Arabidopsis thaliana: one gene and its partners. The protein of the gene in region 2 interacts with the protein of the main gene of each other region in a pairwise test. Each region holds a gene or a part of one and is shown on either strand. Other genes may lie near its edges. The genes, in order: SNAP29, SYP111 and SNAP30.

Region 1 (4,075 bases), on a different chromosome or scaffold from region 2:
TTGTGTATGTCTAAATCCGAGCATTTGTTGTTGTTGCAAGAACTCGAGAGCAAGGAAATAGAACTACAGTGTTCGTCTCTTACATTGGAGAAACTGGAAGAGACCATCTCGTCCTTAACATTAGAGTCCTTGTGCGAAATAGAAAGCATGAAGCTTGATATAACAGCGTTGGAGCAAGCACTCTTTGACGCTATGAAAATCCAAGAAGAAAGCATCCAAGAAAAAGATCAATTAAAAGGAATAATCGAAGAGTCCCAGTTTCAGTCTCAAAGGGCAAAAGAGAATGTCAAGTACATCGAAAAGCAAAACGAAGACCTGAGGGAGAAATTTACTGCCTCTGAAAAGAGTATCAAAGATTTCTTTCAAAGTACTAAAGAACGGTTAGAAAGTGAAGATGAACAGCCTCTAAATGCAATGTGCTTCTTCGCTGAACTGAGCCATGTGCTTCCAGTGTCTAATGAAGTTCGGTAAGCTCCAGTTTAAGGCTAATTTATTAAGTCATCAAATTGAGTTATCCCCGTCCCTAATAATGTTGGTTTTGTGTCTCACAGCAATTGTTTTGATGCTATCATGAAGAAACTAGAACTTTCTCAGAATGTGAATTTGATTGATAAAGTGGAGGGTATGGGGAAACAGATACATCAGCACGAAGATGTTGTAAAGCAACTCAAAGTACTTTTGAAAAACTGAAGAACTCTATTTCCTTCCTTTGTTACCATTACAGAATCCAACTAGTTATACCTGCGGTTGTTGGTTTGTGCAGGAAGAACTGAAACAGGAGAAACTGAAGGCGAAGGAAGAAGCAGAAGACCTTACACAAGAAATGGCTGAATTAAGGTATAAGATGACATGTTTGCTTGATGAGGAACGCAATCGCCGTGTGTGCATAGAACAAGCATCATTACAGAGAATATCCGAGCTAGAAGCACAGGTACTACTTATGTAATGCTTCCTTGTTTTTGGTCGAATATGTGAAAATGGAATCTAATCTCTCTTTTCTTTCCTCTGTTGTTAAGATCAAGAGAGATGTAAAAAAGCCTGCTTCCAATGAAATGCTGCCTCTTCCTGGGTTATGAAAAGTCTTGAGCTTTGATGTTTACCTTTACACACATTTCTGAGTCTCATCCATGGGTTTTCTGTTGAAACTGAGTGTGGAAAGTGCTCGAGTGATTGAAAGACGGATTGCAAGTTTGGATGTTGATTTGTATAGAAATCAAATGGTAGGGTAGTCAGAAGAAATCCAGAGACTTGGAAGAGGTTTGGAGACGCAAACAAAAGAAGTTTGGGTTAAGAGTTTAGCTTTAGAGATTGATGTTTTCTTTATTCTGAGTGTACATAAAAATTGCTTGGAACAAACATTAGAAATAAAAGTCGTTCTAAGGTAATACATAATTGCATTTTCTTTGATGTCTTAACAAGTCTCTAAATATTTACTCTGCAGCAAATTGAAAATTGATCTCCAACCAATTCTTCCATACCTTATGTTCTTTTCCTCTTTATAAATTGAAATCTCAAACATTTTTCTTATCAAGTTGCTTTGATAAAATCTGTATACATTTTCTTTTTCTTTAACGATACCTGTACTTTTATCTAAAAGAAAACAAAAATAATTACTCTTGGTAGATTTTATTGATAAATAGTTTAATACAAGAAAGTAAATAAATAGGAACAAAAGAAAACTCTTTTTCAACAATTGTGTTTTTTTGCTAAGGTTTCTCACCAGTTTCCTCTATAACGGACTCCAATATTTGAACTCGTTAAAGCCTCTTCTTCCTATCAACCTTTCTCTCTCGGAACCTCTCAATCCTACTTCAATTTCCAGGTACTAATTCGTTTTTTTCTTTCTTCTCGTAATCTTCCAAGTCGATTTAGGTCTACTTTGATTGTTGGAAAATTGATCTTTTAGGAATCGATCGTTGATCAAAAGAGATAGCAGTTATAAATACTTGTTCTTGCTTTTTTTCAACTTCAAAGTTCAGTATCTTCTGGTAAATTTCGAATCAAGGATCAATAGCAATCTTAGTTTTGGATTTCTGCAGGAGAAGTTGTTTTCTTAGTTTTGGATTCTCTGATACAGTAGAATTTCCCCTGAACCTTCTATGGCTCCTAAGAATTCCAGCTGGAACCCTTTTGATGATGAGAAGGAGGCTGCTAAGAGTTTCAGTTTGAACCCTTTTGATGATGATGATGATGACAAGGAGGTTGAGAAAAGATTCACTTCATCCTTGAAGCCCTCGGGAGGTAAAGAGAACCAGACGGTTCAAGAACTTGAGAGCTACGCTGTGTATAACTCTGAGGAAACAACGAAAACCGTACAAGGGTGTTTGAAAGTTGCTGAAGAGATTAGATGTGATGCTTCTAAAACTTTGGTTATGTTGAATGAACAAGGAGATCAAATTACTAGAACACACCAGAAGACGGTTGATCTCGATCATCATCTTTCTCGGGTGAGTCACATACGACCAGAGAGGTGTTTTGCAATCTCTTTCTTGGGGATGATCTTTATTGTATGTTTTTTTTGTTTGGTTTCAGGGTGAGAAGATTCTTGGACGCCTCGGAGGTGTTTTTTCAAGGACTTGGAAGCCAAAGAAGTCTCGTTCTATAACTGGCCCTGTCATAACCAAAGGTTTATTCTTCTTTGGTTGATGATCTTTACTTCTAAGGAATGAGTCTTTTGCTTATTAATTTATCTAGCTATTCATATTTCCTGAGCAGGTGATTCACCTAAGAGAAAAGTTATCGACTTAAAGACTAGGGAAAAGCTGGGACTGAACCCTTCACTCAAACCAAAATCAAAAACACTTCCTGAAGCCGTTGATGCTTATCAGAAAACACAGGTTCGGATTCTCTCTTATGTTCCTTCTGGGGTTTCAAAAGTCGTCTCTTTTTGTTTGTTAACCAAGATTCTAAATATCATGCTGTGTTAACAAATGGAGATTGCAAAGCAAGATGAAGCCCTTACCGACTTAAGCGCTCTTCTTGGCGAGTTGAAAAATATGGCAGTGGACATGGGAACAGCAATCGAAAGGTTTTCCATCAAGTCTCTCTATATGTATACATATTCTCTAAGAGCTTTCTCGTTTCTGAAGGCAACACTGTAATCGCAGGCAAACCAATGAACTGGATCATCTTCAAGATAATGCTGATGAGCTCAACTACAGAGTTAAGCAATCGAACCAACGGGCTCGCTATTTACTCCGGAAGTAAAAGTAGCCAGAACTCTGTTCATAACCAAGCTCGTCCGCTTCTCCCCATTCTTCTGATGAATTTGTTGCTTAAAGTCAAACATAGATTTTCAATATATTAGTTCTTTTCTTAATGAAGTGGAAACATTTAACAACTGCAGAATACAGTTAGAGTAACAAGCAAACATTTGGTTCCAAAGATTTGTGTTTGAAATAAAGAATAACTTGAGTTTTGTGTCTGGAAAATATGAATAGGATCAGGTGGAAGAAGAGACAAGAGACATGAACTCTTGATCTGATTCCAAAGCTTCCATAAACTCTGGAAGTAGACATACTTCCAAATCTATACTTGCTCCTCCTTGTCTTCCTGGATAAGCTGATACCTTCCCGTCATACTTACCGCCATAACCGCTTCTAACCGCCACCGCTTTCCCCATCCCAAACTCGCTTCCGTACTTGTTAAACCTTGGAGAACTTCCCATGTGAACTATGTTCAAATTGGAAAGTCGATATGCTTGCAACGGTAAAGGAGACTTCAACATTTGATCTATTTCGTAAGAGATCTTTTCGCCAGTGTGTTCGGTAACAGCTTGATGCAGTTTCAAAGCAATCCATCCAAACTCATTCTCCAGTAGATTACCGATTTTAGTAGTCGTTTTCACAAGAGAGATGTAAACTCCAAATTGATTCGTCGGCAATGGTGGATTCATTCTTGATCTGTTTCCAGCAGCAAACCTGCAAGTAGTTTCTTGATCATTTGGTAGTTTTCTTGCTCTTGTAATGCTTCTCCATATCAATGCGGTCAGAGCCTGAAAAGAAGAGATCATTGTTGTTCCGCATTCTTGATTCGCCTTTGATTTCAGCGATCTCACTGTTTCTGATGAGAAATG
Region 2 (3,867 bases):
TCGTTAAGTGATCTTGACCGTCCATTTTGGATTTGGAATTTTAAGATCTAACGGTGGATTAGTGATTATCAGGTTTAGTCGGTCAGAAGAAAACTAATAAATGGATAAGGTTCATGACTTCTCGCAGATATAAAGGAACAAGTATAGGAAATTTTCTCATGACTTTGAATACATTTAAATGGATATGTTTGGTTTTTTACCATGCTTTTATCTGAATACAGAGTTTTAACTATGTTAAGTGGATATATATTATTTTGAAGAGTATGTTTAGCCAATTTAAGTAACGAATTTTAAATTTACCTATATTAATATTAAACAAATGGATTATATAGGTCATGAACCAAACAATTTTGAGAAAAATAAATGATACAGTTTCATCCTCAAACATTTATCAATCAAGTAAACAACAAATTAGGCGATGAACCACCAAAATGAAAGATTATTACTTTATTAGTCATCTGCAATCAACTAGTGAAGGATTTTACTACCAAACAAAAGAAAAAAAAGTAGTGATGGATAAATGGATTTGGATTTTAAGGAAGATAGTTTGCCAACACATCACCCACGTGGGTCTCACTCTCTCCACCACAACTCTCTCCTTTAACCTTTTTTATGAACTTTATATTATTGGAGATTTGCAATTGCCACCTCTTTAACAAAATAATTGGAGATTGCCCTTTTTAGTTTTTTGGTTTACATCTAACCCCCTCAATTCCACATTGCACAAGTTTTCGATCGATTCACGACAATAAGTAGAACAAACGTAACAAATGTGACTAGAGTTGAACAGCCAAAACAATCGAAGCAACTTTATTTTAATGTAAAACAAGCGTTATGTAATATTTTTTTGGGCGGCAAACAAATTTACTATATTTAATTACAAAAACAGAATAATTTTTTAATTAGAAAACAAAAAGTTTAAACAAAACAAATGTGACGAATGTAGAATAGACAAAACAATCCTAACAAATTTGTTTTAATGTAAAACAAGCGTTACGTAATCTATATATTTTTGTCGGTAAACTAATACTATTTTATAACCATGAAACGTTACAAAATTTAGTACATACTAACGTTATAGTAATGTAGTGACACAGTTTTTAAAAACATTTTTCAAGCATTACAGAATAAATATTGAATTGCGACTACAATAAATATTATTAAATTATTTTTTTATTCGAATATCATAAGGAATTTAATGTGATTAGTCAAAATTTTGGGTATTATTAAGTTTATAGAGATATGATGTACATTTTATTTAAAATTTGTCTACGATATTGAAACAATTTTGAAAATATTACAAGAAAAATAAAAACTGATTTCAAGTTTAGAGACCAACAAGCTAGTGGAGATGTTTTATTGGAGAGTCGTTTACATACGAAATTAGAATTAAAATATTATATATTTGAAAATATCCTAATAATTTGAATGGTTCAACTAAGGTGTATCGTAACAAAAGAAACTATACCATAAGTTTTCCAACATAAAAAACAAAACACAAGAACCACAATTTTTGTATAAATGGTGACAAATGTGCAGCTAAGAACACCTCTTCTTTGCTTTCGTAAATCGTCACCAATGATGATTTGTCGACAAAAGCGATGTCATACACATAATTACAATTTAGTCCCTATATTTTCTTCTCAGTTTCGATATCTTTAAAGCTGTCTCAATCACACACGTCGGCACTAAAACATACATCTAATTACAATTTAGTCCCTATATTATTTTAAAGTTTCGAAAGAAATTCACATGAATTTAAAAATAGATTTGAAGAAACAGAAACAGATAGACAAATGGACGACAACGGATACATCGCCAAAATATAGCCGTTGGGGCGAAGAAATCACAGTAACGGCTAATTTCTCCTTTTTCTTATATTAGAAAGAAAGCTTTCTCTCATCTCACAAATCGCTAATCAAATTCTATAGTAAGCTTTACTTCACACTACTCTCTCACTTTCTGGGCAGAAACTTTGTGGATCTAGAAGAACACACTAATCAGAAGAGTATGTTGTATTTTCTTTGATTTTCTCTTGTTTGATTCTGTTACAATCACTGCGATTCTCTCTGATTCTTGTAAAATTGTTGACTTTCAGGTGAAAAAGATGAACGACTTGATGACGAAATCGTTTATGAGTTACGTTGACTTGAAAAAAGCAGCGATGAAGGATATGGAAGCAGGACCTGACTTTGATCTTGAGATGGCTTCTACGAAAGCAGACAAGATGGATGAGAATCTGTCATCTTTCTTAGAAGAAGCAGAGTATGTGAAAGCAGAGATGGGTTTGATTAGTGAGACGCTGGCTCGGATCGAACAGTACCATGAAGAGAGTAAAGGTGTTCACAAGGCAGAGTCTGTGAAGTCTCTTCGTAACAAGATCTCTAACGAGATTGTGTCTGGTTTGAGGAAGGCGAAATCGATTAAGTCGAAGCTGGAAGAGATGGATAAAGCCAACAAGGAGATTAAAAGGCTCTCTGGGACTCCGGTTTATAGGAGCAGAACCGCTGTGACTAATGGGCTGAGGAAGAAACTTAAGGAAGTGATGATGGAGTTTCAGGGGCTGAGGCAAAAGATGATGAGTGAGTACAAGGAGACTGTTGAGAGAAGGTACTTCACTGTCACTGGAGAACATGCTAATGATGAGATGATTGAGAAGATCATCACTGATAACGCTGGAGGTGAAGAGTTTCTCACGCGAGCAATTCAGGAACATGGTAAAGGAAAGGTCTTGGAAACTGTGGTTGAGATTCAAGACAGGTATGATGCAGCAAAGGAGATTGAGAAGAGTCTGTTGGAGCTTCACCAAGTGTTTCTTGATATGGCTGTGATGGTTGAATCGCAAGGTGAACAGATGGACGAGATCGAGCATCATGTGATTAATGCGAGCCATTACGTGGCTGATGGAGCTAATGAGCTGAAGACTGCAAAGAGTCATCAGAGAAACAGCAGAAAATGGATGTGCATTGGTATCATTGTGCTGCTTTTGATCATTCTCATTGTTGTCATCCCCATCATTACCAGTTTCAGCTCTTCTTGAGATACTGGCTATGTTCACTCCTTTTGTTTTGTTTCGCTCTTCTTTGTACCAATGGATGTCTTAATCCTTTTGTGTTCTTCAAGGATGTCTTAATCCTTTCGTGTCTTGTATCCAATTTCAATGAAATGGTGAATGTTTACAAAGATACCCAGTTGACTTAATCCTCTTGATCATTCTAAATGTTGTCATCCCCATTGTTAACACTTTCAGCTCTTCTTGAGGTACTATGTTTACCAATCGTTGTTTGTTTCGCTCAAAGGATGTTTAATCCTTGTGTTTTCTGTATCCAATTGTTATGGAATGATGATGACTGTGTACAAAAATATTACTTTATATGAACCGAACACAGTATGTATAATATAGTTTGTACAACAATGGTGGTTCTTGTTTCTACCTGACCTTCCTGATTGGCAAAGCTTTCCCAAACAATTTTTCAACCTCACTTGCTTCCATTTTGATCTCATCCAAAAACTCCATCTCTTCTTTACTTAACTCTCTCACGAAATTCTCCTCGTCTTGCTTCAGTTCATTAAATCCTTCAGCCAATCTCTGGAACAAGGTCATCTCAGTCCTACCGACCTTCTCCACTTCCTTCTCTACCTCTTCTTCTATCTCTTCAACCTCTTTTACGATTATCCTTTCACCTTCTTCCACTGTCTTCTCAATTCTCTCCACGAGCGCAGGTTCAGGACCACATGTGTTATCCGTTCTAATGAATGTGCTGAAGTCTCTGCCTATGCTTTTTGCTGCTTTTTCGAGTTCTGGTATAATGCTATTGGGTAATACAGAACTTCTCGTGTATACAACTGCACCACCATATCCATCCC
Region 3 (4,122 bases), 2.0 Mb from region 2:
GGTTCACACAGATAACCTTCACGCCAAGTAACTAATGGCTTTGGTTCTCCTTTTACAGGTTTTTTAAGAATGGGTTTCAAGCGAACGTTTGACGCTGAAGATGTTCAAGAGCTCAACGTTAAGAATGGAAGACAGATTAGTTACTGTAATAAGCTGGCCAAACTAGATGAAGGAGTTCCATATCGTCTTTCACTGGAGAAGCCAGGTGTCGTAGGTAATAATAACACCTTGTTTCTTGCAGAGGGGTTCACATGATAAACTTAAGCAGTTCGCTTAATGATTATCTGTCTTTATCATTTAGCAGGATATGATATAAGTGATCTCTACGGGTATAAATGTGAGGATAACGTTGACAAGGGGTTTGAGACCAATGCGCCTTTCTCTTGGATCACAACTGGTTTGTCTGAGGAGGATTCTCAGTCTGGAGCTACGATTCAGTCTACCATTTCTCATGAATCTCCTGAGTCAGATATACCTTGGAGACCGGTTTGCTCTGGGGAAGAAGATGGCTATTGGTGTCCGATTTCTCCTAGAAAAACGGTTCCAATCGGGTCAGATTACCAGGCTGATATTCCTGAATGTGTCAAGGAAGAGGCAAATGATCAGTCGGGTCAAGGTGTTGGTTACGATGAAGAACAAGTGACAGGGAAGTGCGTAATTCCAATGCCTGACTGTGAAACCGAGGTCTGCAAGATTGGTAAAGGAAGAAAGGAATGCATTTGCCTGGATAAAGGTTCCATCAGATGTGTACAGCAGCATATTATGGAAAACAGGGAAGATTTGTTTGCAACTATTGGGTACGACAGGTGTCTGGATATAGGTCTTTGTGAAATGGGGGAGGAAGTTGCTGCTAGACTAACTGAAGACGAGGAAGATCTGTTTCATGAGATTGTTTACTCCAATCCGGTTTCAATGGACCGGGATTTCTGGAAACACCTAAAGTCTGCGTTTCCTTCACGAACCATGAAGGAAATTGTGAGCTATTATTTCAATGTCTTTATCCTGCGAAGACGAGCTATCCAGAACCGTTCTAAAAGCCTGGATGTTGATAGTGATGATGATGAGTGGCAAGTAGAGTATGACAACACCTTTTATGGTGCTGAAACTCCATCAGATGACAAAGCCGAAAAAAGCCTCTCAAGAGACGAAGGAGAAGAGGTTAATGCTAATGAAGATTCGTACATGTCCTTTGAGAATCAGTCCAACGCAATCTACTCTCGATGTCCAGTTAGAAATAGAGAAGAATCCAACATTGGGAATTACTGGCGCCACTGCAATGATCTTGTGGATCAGTCGTATTCATTTGATCCTTGTGATTCAATACTGCCAGATCATTGTTGGACTAAGAACATTGATCTGCTTCCAACTTCAAACATTATCGACGAAATCTTTGGTCAAGACCACCCATGGGATGATTTCTCCAGAGGGAAGTAAATGAAGAATTGTCTCCCATGTCCATTGCTACTCTGCTCCAAGTTCTGAATCTTCTGTATGTAAATGCATTATTTAAGAAAATCTCAAGTTGGAAGTTTTGAGGGAGGCATGTCGTGTATAGTTTTATGGCCGTGGAAACTTATGTGTTTTTGATACTTTAGGTTATTTTTATTTACTATTTTTAGATTTTGTTGTAAGAAGATAAAAAAAATTCTTCAACTGTTTAATAAACTAACTTTTGTTCATATCTTTTAGTATACATATCTCACTTCCTATATGCACAAGCAAAACGAAATTAATATGGGTCTTGACATTTCTCCATTAAACATGTTAAGACATAAGCCTTCTCTCTGAAACAGTGTTTGGTTATTACACTCTTAACGGTCCCAAAATAGGGAGAAGCATAGGACGTTATTACATATCTCTGTCACAGGTTTCTATTTTTGGATAACCATTTTCTTTTTTCTAATCCCTGAAGTTTTCTTGATTATAATCTTTTTTTTTCTAATCTTTGAGATTTCACAGGTAACCAACCCATCAAATTCTATTTCTTCCTGATTCAATCTTTTTTATCAGTTTAATCGATAATCATCATCACCTCATTGTTACATAGATGTTTGGGTTTTTCAAATCTCCGGGGAACAATAAACTTCCCAATGAATCATCAAACAACAAAGGAGGAACAATCACTGCAGGAAGAAGGACTTCTTCAGAACCAATCCTGATAACACCAGATTTCGACGATGACGACAAATACAAGAACGGTTTCAACGATTCTGGTGGTCTGCAGAGCCAAACGACAGAAGAATTAGAAAAATATGCAGTTTATAAAGCTGAAGAAACAACCAAAGGTGTTAATAATTGTCTTAAGATCGCTGAAGATATAAGATCAGATGGTGCAAGAACGCTCGAAATGTTGCATCAGCAAGGTGAACAAATCAACAGGACTCATGAAATGGCTGTTGATATGGATAAAGATCTCAGTCGGGTAAAACTTTTTTTAATTTTTCTTACTTTCTTCGATACGAAAATGTGAAATTATATGTTCTGTTTTATGGAGCGTTGATAAGAAAAAATGTTTGTGAGATCAGGGGGAGAAGCTTTTGAACAACTTAGGAGGAATGTTTTCAAAGCCATGGAAACCAAAGAAGACTAAAAATATCACAGGACCTATGATCACACCAGGTTTTAAAGCTTCCGAGCTCTTGATATTGATTGGATAAAATAATGTTATGATGATCATGTATCTTATAATATCTTAGAGAAGGGTTGATTCATACCTAGCCCGTTAATAACTCATATAATCTCAATCCTTATTGTATTCACGTTGTTAGGACTCTTGATCATGTGTATGGTGGTCATGTTTAATATAGTTATCGAAATTTTAGATAAACCGTCGAAGAAGAGCGAGAATCACAAGGAAGAGCGGGAGAAACTTGGTTTGGGTGCAAAAGGACGATCGAGCAGTCAACCAGCATTAGATCAACCAACAAATGCGTTGCAGAAAGTTGAGGTTTGTGTTCTTTTTACAAGTTTTTGCATCTTATATGCTTTCTTTATTAAGAATACGTATTAAAAGGTGTATGTTTAATGCAGCAAGAGAAGGCAAAGCAAGACGATGGACTTTCAGATTTAAGTGACATATTGGGTGATCTTAAGAGCATGGCCGTTGATATGGGATCTGAGATCGACAAGTCAGATAACACAAATACATACTTTCATACATTTTATGCTTATGTTTGTAGAATACTTACTATTGTTGGGGGCAAATTTGCAGGCAAAACAAAGCTCTTGATCATCTCGGCGACGATGTTGATGAGCTTAACTCTCGTGTTCAAGGAGCTAATCAACGGGCACGTCACTTGCTTTCCAAATAAGAAAACACCTTCCACAAAATACCATTGTTCTTATATGTATATTATATTGTATCATTCTCTCTTCTTTTTTTTACGTTTGAACAGTTGTGATTTTCTTCTTTATTCATTCTTTGCTATGAAAATTGTCAATATTAACGCATTTGATTCAATTTTTTTTCTCAAGCTTAAATTTTCCAGACAATATTCCATGAGTGTTTAATCCTAATATATTGAATTGATCCAATCTAAATCAAACCGATCCAAATAAATTAATCTAATTTACCTTTTGATATTCAAAAAGCATATAACCAAACAAAAATAGAAAACATCAAATCCATACTATAATTGGTTACACTTATGCTTTGGCATAATCAACATTCCAATGCTCGATTGATTAGCCTCTACAATTGTTGAATGTATATATACTCTCATACACTACATAATGTAATTACAGCAAAACTTCTTCAATCTGTAATTACAGCAAATTCTTCAAAAAAAAACACATGAATCATACTATGTAACAAGAATCACTATTATTATAGTGCACAAAAACTTATGTTATATATCTTCCCAGCTGTAGTTGTAAAGAAACATGGTTCTTACCGTGGGAAAAAAAGGATACTATACAAATCGTGCCTCTAAATAATAGACTCAGTTCAACATTATGTGATTATGTCTCCTCGTTCTTGACTGGGATCCAACGGTTTCCAGACGAAGATTTCTTTCCCCGGGTAAAAAACCCGATAATGAACCCTAAAAGCACACCCACAACCATCAAGCCTGCTCCTTTGGCATACCACAAAGCATTAGATTCTGATTTTCCCATAAGTGT

Evidence for each region.
Region 1: the proteins of SYP111 (region 2) and SNAP29 interact in a two-hybrid assay, tested with the Arabidopsis thaliana proteins (one study listed by BioGRID).
Region 3: the proteins of SYP111 (region 2) and SNAP30 interact in a two-hybrid assay, tested with the Arabidopsis thaliana proteins (one study listed by BioGRID).

The regions. Positions count from the first base shown.
Region 1 is NC_003076.8:2,514,719-2,518,793, reverse strand, and holds SNAP29 (synaptosomal-associated protein SNAP25-like 29), read left to right. Parts: upstream 1-1,727; 5' UTR 1,728-1,822; intron 1,823-2,036; exon of another isoform or gene 2,037-2,039; 5' UTR 2,040-2,099; coding exon 2,100-2,447; intron 2,448-2,532; coding exon 2,533-2,626; intron 2,627-2,715; coding exon 2,716-2,837; intron 2,838-2,936; coding exon 2,937-3,028; intron 3,029-3,062; exon of another isoform or gene 3,063-3,107; coding exon 3,108-3,207; 3' UTR 3,208-3,442; downstream 3,443-4,075. Other genes in the region: AT5G07890 (myosin heavy chain-like protein), read left to right, coding at 1-467, 552-672, 764-931, 1,017-1,076; AT5G07870 (HXXXD-type acyl-transferase family protein), read right to left, coding at 3,443-4,075. UniProt on the Arabidopsis thaliana protein: SNAREs, soluble N-ethylmaleimide-sensitive factor-attachment protein receptors, are essential proteins for fusion of cellular membranes.
Region 2 is NC_003070.9:2,708,951-2,712,817, reverse strand, and holds SYP111 (syntaxin of plants 111), read left to right. Parts: upstream 1-1,817; 5' UTR 1,818-2,008; intron 2,009-2,098; 5' UTR 2,099-2,107; coding exon 2,108-3,040; 3' UTR 3,041-3,293; downstream 3,294-3,867. Other genes in the region: NPQ1 (non-photochemical quenching 1), read right to left, coding at 3,431-3,867. UniProt on the Arabidopsis thaliana protein: Involved in cytokinesis. Acts as a cell plate-specific syntaxin, required for the fusion of vesicles at the plane of cell division.
Region 3 is NC_003070.9:4,749,534-4,753,655, forward strand, and holds SNAP30 (soluble N-ethylmaleimide-sensitive factor adaptor protein 30), read left to right. Parts: upstream 1-1,898; 5' UTR 1,899-1,959; exon of another isoform or gene 1,960-2,047; coding exon 2,048-2,422; intron 2,423-2,525; coding exon 2,526-2,619; intron 2,620-2,822; coding exon 2,823-2,947; intron 2,948-3,030; coding exon 3,031-3,128; intron 3,129-3,211; coding exon 3,212-3,311; 3' UTR 3,312-3,471; downstream 3,472-4,122. Other genes in the region: AT1G13880 (ELM2 domain-containing protein), read left to right, coding at 59-214, 305-1,434; PAP2 (Purple acid phosphatases superfamily protein), read right to left, coding at 3,961-4,122. UniProt on the Arabidopsis thaliana protein: Vesicle trafficking protein that functions in the secretory pathway.